2 linked regions of the Caenorhabditis elegans genome follow. The protein of the gene in region 1 interacts with the protein of each later gene in a pairwise test. Each region holds a gene or a part of one and is shown on either strand. Other genes may lie near its edges.

Region 1 (6,682 bases):
CTTGTGGTCTTTCCAAAAATGGTTTTACAACTCTGAAACTCTTATTAAAATGAAGCGGCCGCCGGAAAGATCGTGGCGAGACCAGTCCGTAGGAATACATAACTGCGAAATTATAGCCCGTTGAACGCAAATTACGTGTTCCTACTTGCGACAGACCAAATGCGAATCATCTGTGAAAACAGAAAATTCAAAATTGAACATGCAATATATATTTTTTTTTCAGAGTAATTCTCAACATATTCCGTCTCACATGCATCACGCTCTTCATATACTTCATCGTTGAAAAAATCAGTGGAGAGTTGGAGAAATCAGAAGTTGCAAATCGGAATACGTATGGGATGGTTTTTTTGCCAATGTGGCTTCTCCTGGCTTCGTGGGGATTTCAAATGTGTCGGGCAACAAATAACTAGTTTAACTGCTCATTCTTCTCATTTCCTATCATTTTCTGTACATTATTGTTGTTTTTTCCTATTTTCAACGGGTTTCCAAAAGAAATACAAATAAATACCATCTGAAACGTCATCCGTGTATAACCTAAATAAAACATGTGACAAATTTCATATAAACGCGATTTAAAGGAGAAAAAAGATTGGAGCGAAAAAAAATTGAGATCAAAAATGAAAATGAAATACTCGAATACTACAAAACCTGCAAAAATAATTAAATTCGTATACAAGAAAATCTAGAAACTAGATCGATTTGAAGACGATGCCAACGAATTTTTGGGCGGCGCATTCAACACGCGGTCCACGTCATCGTCGATATGAAGTGGTGATGATGACGTCACATGTTCTGACGTGGCATGTGGTGATGATGTGGATGACGATGGAAACTCGTGGAGACTTGGAGCATTTGAGAGGTTTTCTGAATTTTCACAATTATGTTTTTTAAGTGCTATTCAATAATTTAAACTTTGGGAGCAATTGAATTGACATTTTAATCAAACAGAATTTCAAGCTTTTTCTAATGCAATTTCCATATTGCAATTCCCTCGACGTACCTCTTTCAGAATCACTTCCACCATCTCGTTCCCATACAGCATCTAAATCGACTTCAGTGTGTAACGTAGAACTAACTGGAGGCATTCTTTCCTGAACGAAAAAATTAATTATTAAAACTCCAAATCGATTTGGTTTTTTGCTCGAATTTTATTAAAATTTGAAAACAAAATAAAAGTTCGGTTTTGTATTATACGAAAATCGAAAAGCTTAGTTATTCAGAATTTTTTTCTCTCGCGGATTTTTAAAATCCACACCACGATGAATCTGAAATTTATACCTACATTAATTTTTTTTTGAAAGAAATTTTCGATTATCCCGGAAAACATTGCAAATTTCTGATTTCAAAAGCAGAGTTTTCCGCTTTTTCGGAGAATTTTTGAATTTCGATTCATCGAATCGTGGCGTTGATTTTTAAAAACAAAATTGATATTTTTGAAGTGTTTTTTCTCAACATTCTCACCACAACTTCCAACATTTCAAATTCAGTTCCATAATCTTCCTCTTCACTTTCAACATCCACGTCATCATCCTCTATTATCGGTCTTGCAGTTTGATATGATTTTATTTCACTGAAAACGCCAGAAACTAGATTTTTTTGTTCAAAATTCCATCCAAAGTCCATTACCCAATTTTAAAAATTCCCCGCTCAGCAGCAATTTTCGCGAAATCTTCCGTCTGTTTATTCTCCAAATACTCTCGAATTGCCATTTTTTCCTGGAATGCCGCCTCGTCGTTCTGAAAATTTTGAGTTTTTGTGTGTATAAAACATGGAAACAGAAAATTATTTATTCGGGGCGAATCAAATACAACTATACCAGTTTCAATGAAAAATGTGGGCTTGGAAGAAACATAATTTTTAAACTAAAAATGTAAAATTTGACATGGAATTTTACTTTTGAAATAAAATTTGGAAATTCGTTGGCTAAGACACAAAATTGATAGGGAAAATGTTTACATCAATAAGTATACTTTTGCCAAAATTCGCCTAGCAAATCAAACACTTTGAATCTGTAAAACTAGCTGAAGTTTTTTCATCGAAAATTTCATAAATATCACAAGAATGTAGATGTTTCACCTTATCATCAGTCAAATCATCACATGAATCACAATCCAAATACTCTTCATTTATGAACTCTCGTCGTGTCACAGAGGACAGTTTCAGTGGTAAACGACGCATCCAAAGTTGAAAATCACGACGAGAGATATCGACTGATGTAAGATCCACGTTTGCAGCGTCTTCTAACTGAAAAATTTAATAACTTTTTAATTGAAATTTGTGATGAACTATTTCCTAATTTTCCTAACAAGAAGGAAAGGTTTCCATTTTATCGTCAGACTTCATTTCGATCTGGAATTGTTTCAGTGCCTGTTTTCACTACTTTGGAGGCCTGTAGAATTGCTCCAAATGCGTTTTTTTCAAACTTTAATGTTTTTTCAGAACGTTTAGAAGTAGGTGAACACTCTGGGAGATTTTTCAAAAATTTGTAATTTTTTGAAAAAAATCTGAAAGTTTCTTCACTCCACTTGATCCAAAAATGTTCAGATTTTCACAACAAAAAAAAGTCCAAAAATCTCCCAGAGTGTTCACCTACTTATAACCGTTCTGAAAAACATTGAACTTTGCAAAAAAACATTTAGAGCAATTCAACAGGTCTCCAAATTAGTGAAAAATGCACTGAAACAATTTCATATCGAAATTTTAAGGGTTGAGGGAAGAGCTTTTTTCAAAACATGGAATCACTTGTTGACACCCGAGACCGAATGGGAGAGTCAACCCATCGGGTGAAAACGACGTAGTCTGTTTCGAACCTCTCGCTCTTCATCCTTTCGCGCAGCACTCCGTTGATTCTCCTTATACGAGCATTTCTGATTAATTCTCAACTCAATTTTCAACTTCATCATTTGAATCGCAATCGCTGCAATATTCGTTGCATCATCCAATCCACTATGTTTATTTCCAACAAACGACAGATCCAGACGTTCTAACATGTTTTCAATTCCGGATTTCTGAAGAGAATTGAGGTTTTAATTAAAATTTGAACCTTAAAAACTTACTCCATTTCCCTTGATAAGTCCATTGAATTTCTCTTTGAATGTCTTTTTGATGTTGATAAAACTTCGGAACATATGGGGCATTCGAATATTCGATAAAAGGCATTGAAATTGCATGAATTTCCACATATCGTGAGGTCTGAATAGTTCGTTATGCACAACTTTGAAGTTTTAGTGAACAAAAAATCGTCTTCGATTCCTTACCCATCAGTAACAAATGCGAATCTGGAATTTTTCTGTCCGAGATTGAATTTTCGCATCCATGTGTACAGCCGTTGAAGAGCCTCTCGGAAATATGGAGCAGCATCGACTGTTTCTTGGGCAATTTCTACAACAGGGTTTACATTTTAAAAATGACATTAGTGTCTTACTGGTAAACTGCATACAAAATTCGCTGAGCTTCGGATTTCTGACAGGTCGGACATAGGTTCGAAACTCGCTGATCTGGAAATTAAATATGCTTATTTTGACGATGGATATTATAAAGTTATATATTTTTCGTTTTTTATTTATATTCCTAAAATAAATAAACAAAACAAAACAAAAAAAGCTTTCAGTTTAGTCAGTTTTTATAACTTGATAATACACCAAAGAACTTCCATCTGCCTTAAATTGAAAAATGGGAGAAGGATTTTTCTATTTTTTTCCAATATTTTCTTCACAAGCGAAACAAATTTTATAGCTAAATAAGAAACCCAAAAAAGACGAAAAATGTTGTATTTGAAACGTTTTTTGTTGAATACATTTTTATATTCCAGATTTCGATAGGATGACGAAACGTTTGTCACCTTTTCCCGGAAAAAATGATTTTCTTGCGGGAAAACACGAAAAAAAAAAATAAAATTCGAGCCGAAACCCCAGAGGAAAAATCCAAAATCAAGAATTTCAACTGAGAACTGTTCAATCCTTGTCCGCGGGGAGTACACGACATGCGTAATTCGACATATTCCATTTTCAAAGATGAAAAAATCCTACAATTTTCATTTCCCGAACGTCGATCAAAACTGCCGGTAATTCGATGATTTCGTGTGGGTAATCGTATATAATCTCGACGCACGTACACTCGAAATCAATTGCCTGAAATAATTAATAACTAAAGTATTTCTTTTCCAGAAATTCTGAAAATCATACAATTAAATAGTCAAAAAAGCGTGCAGTTTTATCGGCATTCGGCTCCATTTTTCGATTCAATAATGCATTTTCCTTTCGATAATATTGTGCAACCCGTTTTCGAAGAGTTTTCTTGTTTCCGCTGAAATTAGAGTTATAATTTAAGTTAATTTCGAAATTTTAGTAAGAAAATTACATTATTTCTTTTACGGATGACTATATTTAACGCAAAATGATTCAAAAAATGCTGTTTCTTTTTAACAAAACTATCAAAAATGAAGCAAAGCTATATCTTAAATGTACGAAATTGGGTTCTGTTAGGAAAATAAGAAGTTTGAATGAATTTAGCATAATTTTACCCTGTGGACACTTTAATCTTCATCAACGCTTGTTTTAGCTGTTCAGCAGTCATTGTATCCATTTGCCTTATCACTTTTTTCACGTATTCTGGTTCCACCATTGATTTTAAAGGCTCAACACGTTCGGAGGGTAAAAGTTGCTGTTCACGTGGAATATCGATTGATTTTTCAGATTCGTCGGTTCTGGTTTCAGCCGATTCCACTTCAACTGCTGTTTTTTCTGGTTCGTCATTCTGTTTTGCGTTACTTGCATCGAATTCTTGGCTGATTTTCAGCAAATCTCGTAGACTTTCCAGATATTTTTCGTCTTCTGGAGACGGCTCATCTGCGCTCATTTTTTAACTGAAATTTTAGAAAAACAATGTAAATTCGAATGCGCCTAGATTCTATGTATCGGAGAATATAATTTTTCTTTGGAATTATCACCAATTTCAATGTTACAAATCTAAATAATTAAACAAAAAATTGGTAAGTACAATTAATTTATGGGAGAATTGTGTTAAAGCCCATAGGATTAGTGATGACCCGCAATGTGAATTACAATTTCTGAGTAAGAAAACAGATGGAAGGGGATACATTCATAGGGAATTGCTATTTTTCACCCGGCAAAATATACATATATACGTGGAAAATCGGGAAGTTGAGAGCTATAATATGAATATACAAAATAATCGAACAATAGTTTGTTAAAAAACAAAACACTATACAGAAAGTGAATGATACTTTGAAGAGAAAACTTAAAACATTGAAATTATCTGAAAATTGGAGGGTCAGTAAGAAGAAAATCTTCTAAAAGTTTTGTTTTAGGTTTACAAATAAATAGCTTGATCAAAATTCGAATCCGAGAAGCTGTTTTCGGAAAAATGAGCAATTCTTGGGATTTTATCCTCTGGATGTAGCTCCGGGCACGTTTCACGACGCTCGATTTGCTGAAAAATTAACATTTTAATCACATAATAAAAAATAAAAAAGATTACTCACCACACGATGATTAGCTTCCAAATGTAGAAGCACATGATTGCGGGTCTTCTGAGTGTCTTTGCCAGTTTCTTTCACCATTTGTTCTCGAGTTTTCAGGGCTTTTGGATTTTTAGAAGAACCATTCGATTCTTCTACAACGTGCCCGAATCGCTCAAACGCTTCACCAAGAGTGTGTTCAAGATCGACTTCCTCTGCATTCGCTTGAACTCGTTGAAAATCCTCCGACTGCTCCAGTAACGCAATCTGTGCTTTAAAAACTTCGGCCTGTCCGGTTACATAATCAGCAAAGGAATTGTCCGATGGTACTTTGAATTGCTTCATAAACTCTTGTAATACACCTTGTCCATTAAGCAACTGGTCAACGAAGGCTTTTGCCTCTTGTTCAGCTATTTTCACTTCCTGAAAGTTAAATATTGAAAATACATTCAACATTTCCCGATAGTTTTTGATCTTACTAGGAGTTCTTATTTTTGGTGATCAGAGAGTTATGGGTCGAATGTTATATTTTCTGGAAGCTAATAAAACGAGCATATCGAATTCAAAATAAGAAATTTGCCCAAAGTGATGTTAAGGCAATATTTTCGACGTTGAAAGCGTATTTAAGCCAAAAAAGTCGTTGTTTTTGAAGCATGGACTTCAACGATACAAGAAAATAGTCACCTAACAGAATGTTAAGAACAATACGAAAATCATTATTTTAATAACGATAGCTAAATACTCAAAATATTTCTCTAAAAATCTGAATGAAAATTAATATAACTTACCACTGGCAACGAATGAATACGCAGGTTTTCAGCGAGGAAACATTATAATATTGATAATATAGAAATATAATTAGAAACTATAGCAATAGGAATAATTATTAGAAAAATTACACCTAGGAAGGTGAGTAGATTGAGGGGTCCCGCATATAATATAAAAAGTTCACTTTCAATTCCAAAATTTAAAATTTCAAACCAAATTCACCGAATCAGTGTGATAATCCTGACGCAGCATGTTACCGGCCGTATTTGGATGGTATGATTCATGGAATAGATGTTCGAGTGGTTCAAAACCAGCTATTGACTCTACGGTTTTGTGTTCACACGATTCTTCTTCCGGATTTTCGAAATCAACGCCGACGACTGGAAATCTTCGCACATTATCCGGTAGCCTCGCAGGAGGAAGTTCGTCTTCAGT
Region 2 (4,860 bases), on another chromosome or scaffold:
AATAACAACCACTCACCAAAAGGAAGCTCAAATCGAACATCAGTCAACAAGTTATGACCTGTTGGACCACGTGTTCCTACAGTTTGACCATTTCTTGTTTCAAGTTCATGATCCATTTGAAGCCATTGACCCGAACCTGCTGCATTGCTGAAAATCAATGGGGTATTTTTAGAAAACTGATACATTAATTTTAAAAGTTAGAAACCACTTCCGCTCAATTACGACAATTATAGGTGGCGAAAACTGAATAATTGCACTTTTCCATTGTAAATAAGAAACGTTCATATTTTTTCGTAAAATTGTATTAAAGTATGTTGCCATTTTAGTATTGGTTTTAGAGTGATTTTAACTGACGACTGGAAATTAAAAAAAAATTTTACCTGTATCTAATCTCCGAAAGTGGCATATAATGAACACCTATTAATTTGTCCCATAAAACGCCTTTGGCCCATAATTCGAGTACCATTCCGTCGTCAGGTCGATTTGTTTCACTGAAATAATTAATTAAATATGAGGTGATGTGGTTTAGCTGAAACCTTAATGTTTGATTAATTGGTTTTCAAATATAATTGTTGTTATTTTAATAAAATAATTGTAAGTGTAATGAAAAAAAAACAAGTAAAACGTTCCAAAACTAAAAAAAGGAGGCAAAATAACACCAATTTACGCATAATGGTATTTTTCCTTCCATAATATCAAATATTACTATTTTCAGCTGTTCTTTTTTTATAACATTTACAAAAATCGGTCTCCTTTACCGTATTTCACCTGTCAATGACAACTTACAAAATGAATTCCTGCTCCCAGCATGGTAAGTTGCCACGCACAGCCACAGTTGTTGATTTTACAGTCTGCAGCTTCACCGTCACGTACGAGTTGAATTCATCTGAGATCAGGCATTTAAATTGTTTTTCAAAAATTTAAAAACTGAAAAAAAACATGCTCTAATGATAGGGAGGGCGCGAAACGTTAATGCTTGTACAAAACCTCTTTAAAATTTATAGAAAATTTCAACTCAATCCAAGTTTTGATAATCAAAATTTTAAAAATCAAAACTTGATAAGACTTTGGTAAAACGAAGGTGAAAAGTTGTTGAGATTTCATTTCCAAAAAGAAATTTGAAAAAATCTAGAGAAGATTATAAATCTGCAAAATCTCTCCAATCCTAAATAAAATCGCAACTTCAAAATTTTTTTACTGCTGGACAACTTATTGGCTAATCCTAAAAATGGGACAGTTGAAAACAATTGGGTCCTAAAACAAGAGTTAGAATGTAACACGTTAACTATAAATATGCTCTCATGAAAATTACTGGGACGCTCAGTTAAACTTTTGTACCCAGGGGAACAATAAAAAAAGAAGCTATATTTTTTTTAGTTGAAAAGAAAAAAAAAAAGAGAACAACGTGAATTATAACTCAATTTCTGGCTCAAACTTGAGTGAAAGATCAAGAATCTTTAAAGTTCTTTCTCATGAGATTTATAGTAAATGTAAAAAGCTACTAAACATTGAACGATTTGTTAAATTTTTTGAACAAGCTGGTTGTATTCTTACTATTACTATATGCTCTTACTATATGCTTTAAAGATGGGGTACTTTTAGCGGGATTTTGTCAACTTACGTTTAGAATGTGGGGTTTTTCGAACTATATGTGTAACTTCAGACACATTCTTTACTACTAATACTTAAAAAAACGAAAACATTTGTTCTATATTCTCAAAATTAAATGAAATATCAAAAATTATTTCAAAAGCATTGGAAATATATGTTTCGCTTAATTTTTAATAATTTTTTAAAATTTTAATTCCATAATTTTTTCTTGAGCTTAACGTACATGATAAATAACAAAGTTTAAGTTTCATTTCATTTTTCTTGGTCTTTAAGCTTCCAGTCCACCGTATCTTGTTTCGTCTCCGGTGCCCTCATTCATTCGTCATTCCATTTCAAACGTTTTCCCCAGTGACTTACTCTCTTGTTTAGAGGTGCCCCCGGTGCTTCTATGTTTAATTTCCTGGCAACTTTTTTCCGGTTTCTTACTTTTTACTTACTCACTTGCTCACGAATGTAGTTAAACTTTTCCTGCCTCTTCAACGACTCTTTTCTCTTATCTTACTCTAAAAAGGTCCCAAAATTTGATTAAAATTTGCCAAAAAAAAGGGATGGGAAAATAGAAGAGGCGGGTGCATACACATACATTCAGAATACTAAGCACATCTTGTACGTGATGTTGAGGTATAAGTTGTGCATTATTTCGTGTGTCATCGAAGCATGAAAACGCGCGTTTCACGATGAGATTTATTATTCGGGAGGTCGCCCCGTGAAACTGGAATGACAGGTGTCACGAATGATGAATTTCTCAGGCGACAACTACAAATCGGAGCAACGCCACGCATGATCGTTTCTCGATTTGCAGAAAGGGATTTATTCAGATTTTTTAGTCTTTCACCCAAAGGAGGTGGACATTTCATTTAAAAAAAGTCAGATCCACATTTCAGACATCTGGCAAGTTAATAGTTTTTTGTTGAGATAAAGTGATGATTCATAAAGTGGAAGAGCCACTTGATTTTCAGTTAGCTCTGACTATGATTTTTTAAAAGTATTTGGAGCAGGAGCATCTTTTGGTTCTATGGTCATCGAGACTAATTGTAACAGTACTGGCACACTGTTACATTTTCAGATTTTTTTCAAAAAATTGGCAGAACTCTCAGAATATTTGTTACATTATCTACTTCAAGTTTCAGGGAATTTCCAGTATTTTTCAAACGAAATAAATTATTTTAAATGAAAACTGAACTATATATTTTAAGTTATAAAATCAATAGAAATACTCACCGACAGCTCCTTGAAGTCGTGCTTTTTTAACTGAAACAATCAATGTTAACATCTCGTCCATAACTGAGTGTCGATGGTCTCGTATATATGTATTCTCGAGACGGCAAGAAGAACACAAATAACAACTCACTGGTAATGCAGAGCAACCTCATGCTCATGCCATCTGAAAGTTGATCATCATTGTAATCTCCAACGTCATCCATCCCTTCTGATTGTTGAAACGTGGCATATTCTTGGGCGATGGTTGAAGAGGAAGCGGCCTCCCCAGATGGGTACGCGCCGCCGACCAGTTGTTCCAATGCCGAGAACAACTTGGTCTCCTGGAGAGTTTTTGGATCAGGATTTTCAGAATTTTAAGGTTTTAGCGAATCAATTAGAGATCAGGTTTAGGTTCAAGTTCCTGGTGCAGAGTTAAAGCTTGAGATCAAGTTTAACCTATAGACAAAAGTTAAACTGAAGGTCAGTGATGAGTGGTACAAATAATTGGATTAAGCAGAAGTAAGTAAGTTCAAAAGAACTAACAGCCTAATCAGACAGATCCAGAGATCTTTGAAATTTGTGTTTTGTAGTTTTTGTTCAAAGAAAGTTATAGATAGAACGTGTTCAAAGCCCCTTAATTTTATATAAAAATTAAATTAAAAACAAAACTCTCAATTCCTACATAACAATGAATAAAAAATTATATGCATGACATGATGAAAAGTCATAAAATACAGAAAAAATGAGCTCCTTTTTTTGCTAAGAAAATGCGTATAGCCTCGAGGTGCCTTCTGCATTATAATGAAAAATGCATCACTTTTTTCTATACTTTTTTTACTATGAAATACGAAAAACTGGGTTAAAAAGTAAATACAAGTTTAGAAAAACTATATTGTTTTACTTCTTTCTCTTGTCAAAGTTGTTTTTATTCTTTAAATGAGAAAATTTCAAGAATGTGTTAGTAACTCAGTGATTTTAACATTCAAAAGTGGAACATAGTGAAAATTTTTTCAAAAAAAAAAAAAAAAAAACGAAATTAAAAAAACGAAATTTTTGTTACCAGTCAAAAAAATTAAAGAGTTTGCAAAATTAAATTTTGGCAGTATAACATCATTTTGACTGAACATTTGAAAAATCTGAAACAATTTTTTAGGGTCTCATTTAAGCACTTTTATTTTTGATTTTGACAAAATCCTGACTGGTGCTACATTATTTTTACAATAAAAAAACAAAACTTCAACATGAACTTCTTATGGACAAAAAAGCTGTAAACTCTTTAATATAATTTTTGTCTAAAATTCCAAACCTAAACGAAAAAATCTTGATCAAACCACAAAAAAAGTTGATTAAGAAAGTCCAAAAAAAGAAACGAACGCAAAATGCGCGAAAAAGTAGCATTTTTTGGAGTATATACTAAAGAAACCAGTGAGATAGTGATTCAAACTAATAGACGCAGAGAACCGGAATAAGTATAACGGAGAGTGTGGAGACGGCGACTGGATGAGCTTGTGCTTTCTTCTTCTTCTGCTCCCGCTCTCTACCCCCTATTCGCCACTCCCCCCTTCGCAAAAATTGAGGACGGAGTAGCAGAAGACGTCGCGGAGCCAAGCTAGAGGAGCACGGAGCACTGAATTCTCGGAGAACCCAGAGATAGTTGCACCCACTACCACCACTCTTCCCTTCACCACAATTTCTCTTTTGGTGTCCCTCTCTCTCTCTTACTTTTTCACCAATTGGGTTTCAGAAATGGACAATAGGAGGACGTTTATATGTGTTTGTGTATGTGGACGGTTCTCACGCTCTAGTGCTCTCCATTCCAATTTCTAGACCTAGATGCCACTCAATGCTTCAAAACAGACTTGCTATGGGAATTCATATCAAATTCTGTGTTCCGATGAGGTTTTAAAATCATACGAAGAACCCATTTTCAAGGGTTGTGTTCCAGAAAAAGATATTTTTAATTATCAAGATGTTTTCTAGGAAATTAGATAGTTTCCAGCATGTTTTAAATATCGAAAATTAGTTCTGAAATTTTTATATTTGAAGAAG

Evidence for each region. Proteins that work in one complex are often made in the same cells at the same time.
Region 2: the proteins of eri-1 (region 1) and unc-13 interact in a two-hybrid assay, tested with the Caenorhabditis elegans proteins (one study listed by BioGRID).

Annotation. Positions count from the first base shown.
Region 1 is NC_003282.8:415,095-421,776, forward strand, and holds eri-1 (3'-5' exonuclease eri-1), read right to left. Parts: upstream 4,865-6,682; 5' UTR 4,858-4,864; coding exon 4,523-4,857; intron 4,306-4,522; coding exon 4,185-4,305; intron 4,131-4,184; coding exon 4,029-4,130; intron 3,498-4,028; coding exon 3,425-3,497; intron 3,382-3,424; coding exon 3,258-3,381; intron 3,193-3,257; coding exon 3,057-3,192; intron 3,009-3,056; coding exon 2,811-3,008; intron 2,245-2,810; coding exon 2,077-2,244; coding exon of another isoform or gene 1,987-2,076; exon of another isoform or gene 1,774-1,986; intron 1,737-1,773; coding exon 1,627-1,736; intron 1,571-1,626; coding exon 1,462-1,570; intron 1,092-1,461; coding exon 1,001-1,091; intron 865-1,000; coding exon 683-864; 3' UTR 541-682; downstream 1-540. Other genes in the region: T07A9.12 (uncharacterized protein), read left to right, coding at 224-410; Phosphatidylinositol 3,4,5-trisphosphate 3-phosphatase and dual-specificity protein phosphatase daf-18, read right to left, coding at 5,332-5,451, 5,504-5,902, 6,470-6,682.
Region 2 is NC_003279.8:7,420,960-7,425,819, reverse strand, and holds the start of unc-13 (Phorbol ester/diacylglycerol-binding protein unc-13), read right to left. Parts: upstream 3,036-4,860; coding exon 2,963-3,035; intron 2,863-2,962; coding exon 2,833-2,862; intron 887-2,832; coding exon 787-886; intron 492-786; coding exon 381-491; intron 148-380; coding exon 17-147; intron 1-16.